Linked DNA regions of Callithrix jacchus. The protein of the gene in region 1 interacts with the protein of each later gene in a biochemical or structural test. Links are inferred from orthologs where the notes say so. Each region holds a gene or a part of one and is shown on either strand. Other genes may lie near its edges.

Region 1 (2,821 bases):
CCAGAAGCCCTTCATTTCTAGGCCTGCTCCTGCCAACACTCACAGCATCATCTAGCATCATCAGCCACATCCCTCTCCTCAAATTTCTGTCCTTGATTCATAGGGGCCTGTCCTCCTTTGATCCCTGCCAGTGTGTCCGCTCCACCTCCTCAGGGCTGTATCTCAGGCCCTTGTCCCTCCCCCTCAGGCAAGCCCGCAACCTCCTCTGACTCCCACGAGTTACCCTGTGCCTGCAACTCACAAAGCTGCCTCCTGCCCTGACCTCTTCTTTTCTAAAAGGTCAGATACTCCAGCTGTCGAGCTGACATCTTGATTCCCTTACTCAGGGACCACAACTCAACTTGATCCAGCATTCCCTACCACAGCAAATGACACCACACTCTGTTCTTTAAACCCACCATGACTTAAAACCATCCTGCGAGTCATCCATGACTTCTAATCTCTCATGGCCCCTACTCAGGCCAGTGTAACTAAAAGCTGCCAACTCCATTTCCTAAGTATCTCCTGATCTGCCCTCTCTTCTCCACTGTCACCAGCAAGGCTGAGCCTCTGGTGCTAACAGTGCCACATTCCCTCACCCCATTCAAATCATCTTCCCTCTATGGCCAGGATGATCTAAAAACTAAAGTCCAATTCCTTTATGCCTTGCTTAAAATCCCACAAGGGCAGCCAGGCATGGTGGCTCATGCCTGTAGTCCCAGCACTTTGGGAGGCCAAGGTGGGTGGATCACGAGGTCAGGAGTTTGAGATCAGCCTGGCCAACGTGGTGAAACACCATCCCTACTAAAAATATAAAAATTAGCCAGGCATAGTGGCAGGCTCCTGTAGTCCCAGCTGTTTGGGAGGCTAAGGCAGGAGAATTGCTTGTGCCCGGGAGGTGGAGATTATAGTGAGCCAAGATTACGCCACTGCACTACAGCCTGGGTGACAGAGCAAGACTCCATCTCAAAAAACAAAAAAAAGAAAAAAAAAGAAAATTCTTGCCCTTAGGCCAAAGCCCGAACTCTGGCAAGGCTTACACCAGCCCTGGATGGTCAGGCCCGCATCCCTTTCAGCCCCATCTTGCCTCACTCATGACTGGTGGCTATGCTCTCCCACACTGCCCTCTCTTCAATAGTTCTCTTCCCCTGTGTCAAGTTCTTCCTACCTTAGGTAGAAAGCACACACATGGTGCCTGTTTCAAGCATTCTCCCCCTCCCCTCCCATTTGTTGTGGAGCAAATTCCCACTCATGACCCCTCAGGCCAGGTGTCCTCCCTCCGAGAGCACACGTCTTCCAGGCTCAGTGCTCACGTCAGTGCCACCTCCATGCCGGCACAGGAAGCTACTCAGCTTCCTCTGTGAGCATGCCGGTACCCTGACACACACCTATGTGCTGGACGCACAGCCTGAGTCACCGTCACCTAGACCTTGGCCTCCTAGTGTGGAAAACAGGGATAATACCATCCACCCTAAACATCTGTGAGGACTACATGACGCAAGGTAAGCGAAGAATTTCAGCCCTGTGCCAGGCCGGAGGGGCACAGTACCGGGAAGACGCTGTCATTTATCACCTCCACTGCTGGCATCAAACACATGGCTAGGCACAAAACAGGCAGTCGATGACCCTTCAAGGCTGTGGAACTCCTTCCACTTGGAGACACCACCACAAACGCAGGCAGAAGGAATGAAACCCTGAGGGCACTTTACTCCGCGATGACTCCGACCTTTCTTGGGTTGAGACCCTTCCATGAAGGTCCATGACTATGCCCTGCTATCTGACAGTCCCTCCACCCCACCCCGTGCCCGTGGCCTGGCTCTTACTGGGAGGCTGTTCTAAGGTCACTACAAGGGCCTGGAGGGCGTAGAGTGCCTGTAGCTCCTTCTGCTCGTCACACAGGTATTTCTGCAGCAGCTTCGCTCGCGCTTTCAGCACTGCAACGTCCACTCGGAGGGGAGTCTCAACTACAGGAAGACAGGAATGAGTGGAGCCGTGAACCCTCACCCTGTTTGGAAGAGGAGGCCAAGACTGACACCCACCTCCCTCCACCTGTCAGGTCCACCCTTGCCCCCCATCTCCCTGGTTCTTCTTACAAATAATTGCAGAATAGCAGACAGCCGTCATGAGGGCTCGAACTAGCGTGTTGGATGCTATCTGCTGCTCACTCAGGTTGACCTGTATGAGAGAAACAAATGAACCCCCAGTTCTGAATTGCGCCCTTCGTCTTCATCCCTGCTGCCCCCGCCCCACCCTAAGAACTTCGTCTCCTTTATCGACATCCAGGAGAAACCTACCTCTATCCAGTCCAACACCCGCTGGTTACTGCTGCCTTCCTTCAGCAGCTTCTCTAGCTGTCTGCTCAGCTCCTCAAAGGGGAGTGCCCTCTGGCCAGGGGCTTCTGACTCCTCGCCCAGGGTATACTCTACCTTCTGCGATGGAAAAGACCCACAGGTAAGAGGTAAGGTTGTTAGTGTCAGACAAGAAAGTCTGGCCAGCCTCAAAGGCTAGAATTAACCCACTGCCAGCCCCAAACCTGTTCAGCGACGAATGCACCAATGTCCTGGCCTTCGGGTAGAAATTCCTTCCAGCTAAGCCCAGCTTCTCGCCACAGCGTCCCCACCTTTTTAGGACCCTGGGAAACACAAGACCAACCCAACTTAGCAACGCTCTCTCTCTCTCCAAGGAGCCAACGGCCCTACCACATTAAGCCAACAAATATTTACTGAAAGCCTACTAGGTCCCTGCCAGGCGTTAAGGATGCTATCGAAGTACCAACAGGCACAGCCCTTCCATTCCTACAGTCTAGTGCAGGGCAGGCATCAGTCACATAACCACCCAAATA
Region 2 (2,317 bases), on another chromosome or scaffold:
TTTAGGTGTGACTAGGGAAGGGAGCAGGCGTCAGAAAGGACACCTAAGAAAGGCTCTAAGGCTGGCCTTTTTCTCCATTAGGTAGTTTTGCTGTCAGCTACAATGCCTTCTGACGTGCTTGAGGTGACCAAGAAGTTCATGAGGGACCCCATTCGGATTCTTGTCAAGAAGGAAGAGTTGACCTTGGAGGGTATCCGCCAATTCTACATCAATGTGGAACGAGAGGTGGGGCCCAGTGCAGGAGGCGGGTCTGGTAGTGAGTTGTTGGGTATAGCCCCTGACTGATTTTGTCCCCACACCTCCAGGAATGGAAGCTGGACACACTGTGTGACTTGTATGAAACCCTGACCATCACCCAGGCAGTCATCTTCATCAACACCCGAAGGAAGGTGGACTGGCTCACTGAGAAGATGCATGCTCGAGATTTCACTGTCTCTGCCATGGTGTGTTTGCTTGTTGCCAGCCCTTTGTGGGTCTGCCCATCAGAAGTGTCCTCCTCCAAGCCAGTGTTCCCAAAACCCATGTACCTGCCTGGCCTGTTAGATGCTTATTTTCTCTTCTAGCATGGAGATATGGACCAAAAGGAACGAGATGTAATCATGAGGGAATTTCGTTCTGGCTCTAGCAGAGTTTTGATTACCACAGACCTACTGGTGAGTAGAGGGAATTTACTGGAAAGGCAAAAGGGAGGATCCAAGGTGATTCCCTCTCCAAGGGGACTTCCAGTGCCCCTCTCAGGAAAGTAGCAACTTGGAATAGAATCTGGCATGCCTAAGGTCTTTGGGGGAACAGGGATGCTTATTTCCTCTGCTTTCCTTGGCTGCCTACATGGATATCCATGTGTCATCCCTTTGGGATAGGTTCTCATGCACATGCTGAAGAGTTGTCTCTCTTGATGTAGGCCAGAGGCATTGATGTGCAGCAGGTTTCTTTAGTCATCAACTATGACCTTCCCACCAACAGGGAAAACTATATCCACAGGTAAGTGTACATCTGGAACACTGCCCCACCCCCCTCATGCCTGGCCTTCACTGGACTAAAGCTCCTCATGTTCCTCATCCCCTTCCCTTGTTTTCCAGAATCGGTCGAGGTGGACGGTTTGGCCGTAAGGGTGTGGCTATTAACATGGTGACAGAAGAAGACAAGCGGACTCTTCGAGACATAGAGACCTTCTACAACACCTCCATTGAGGAAATGCCCCTCAATGTTGCTGACCTCATCTGAGGGGCTGTCCTGCCACCTAACCCCAACCAGAGTTCAGTCTTCGGGGGGGCTGAGGAGTAGCAGGCGGGGGGAGGGAAGGGAGCCAAGGGATGGACATCTTGTCATTTTTTTCTTTGAATAAATGTCACTTTTTGAGGCAAAAGAAGGAACCGTGAACATTTTAGACACCCTTTTCTTTGGGGTAGGCTCTTGCCCCAGGCGCCGGCTCTTCTCCCAAAAAACACTAATCCATTTCCCTAACCTAGTAACCTCCAGATCCCAGAGGCTCTCCTCACCTCAGCTGAGCTCCTTTGAAAGTGATTCAAGGGACTGTGTCATTCAGCCTCATTTGCTGGACCAAATCTGGAGGAAGAACCCTGAAAACCCCTCAGCAAGATTGCCCAGGGGATTGTCCCCAGGTGGGGGGAAGCAGGGGAGAGAAAATGGTAGCCATTTTTACATTGTTTTGTATAGTATTTATTGATTCAGGAAACAAACAAAATTCTGAATAAAATGACTTGGAAACTGCCTGTTTGGGCTTCTCATTTCTTACCTCCCCTACCCCCTTCCACCTGCTATTGGGTGCATCTCCCTCCCCCCTTTACTAGCAGATTGTTGCTTTTCTTGCCACCATCTGAGCATTCCCAAACGCTGAACAACTGTTCTTAGCACTGAGAATGGTGATGGCAGGAGTGCTGCCCCTCTGTAAAGGGCTGGGTGTGAACATCACAAGCCCCTCATGTGCCTCAGTCAAAAGGAAGAACTAGATGGGCCACCCATAAGGTCAAGGAGAAAGGGGAGTGGAAACACTGACTTCCCCACTGAGGGAGGGGCTGTTACCTTAGACGTCTGCCCCAACGGCCAAGCAAGTTTTGCTGAGAGGAATGGGTCCCTGCAGGTCAACAGCCTCAGGGTTTTGTATCCACGTGACACTGTTGACTTTGCCCTGATTGCTCCCGCTTAAGTGGGGGCCAACAGTCCCCTAACAATTTCGAAAACTAATGACTAAGAGATGGGTGGCTGGAGCTGAGGTCCCTGAGTCAGGCTGTGGGTGGGATCATCTCCTGTATGGGAAGTGAGACTTCTCATTTCCTCCTTTCCAAGAGAGGGCTGA

The links.
Region 2: the proteins of EIF4G1 (region 1) and EIF4A1 form a complex in vitro, tested with the Homo sapiens proteins (3 studies listed by IntAct, with this or other methods). The link is inferred for Callithrix jacchus from reciprocal best matches to the Homo sapiens genes EIF4G1 and EIF4A1.

What each region holds. Positions count from the first base shown.
Region 1 is NC_133516.1:13,309,718-13,312,538, reverse strand, and holds part of EIF4G1 (eukaryotic translation initiation factor 4 gamma 1), read right to left. Parts: intron 2,612-2,821; coding exon 2,513-2,611; intron 2,409-2,512; coding exon 2,274-2,408; intron 2,155-2,273; coding exon 2,073-2,154; intron 1,944-2,072; coding exon 1,803-1,943; intron 1-1,802.
Region 2 is NC_133506.1:74,070,924-74,073,240, forward strand, and holds the end of EIF4A1 (eukaryotic initiation factor 4A-I), read left to right. Parts: intron 1-81; coding exon 82-225; intron 226-305; coding exon 306-443; intron 444-563; coding exon 564-653; intron 654-691; exon of another isoform or gene 692-832; intron 833-901; coding exon 902-981; intron 982-1,079; coding exon 1,080-1,224; 3' UTR 1,225-1,733; downstream 1,734-2,317. UniProt on the Homo sapiens protein: ATP-dependent RNA helicase which is a subunit of the eIF4F complex involved in cap recognition and is required for mRNA binding to ribosome.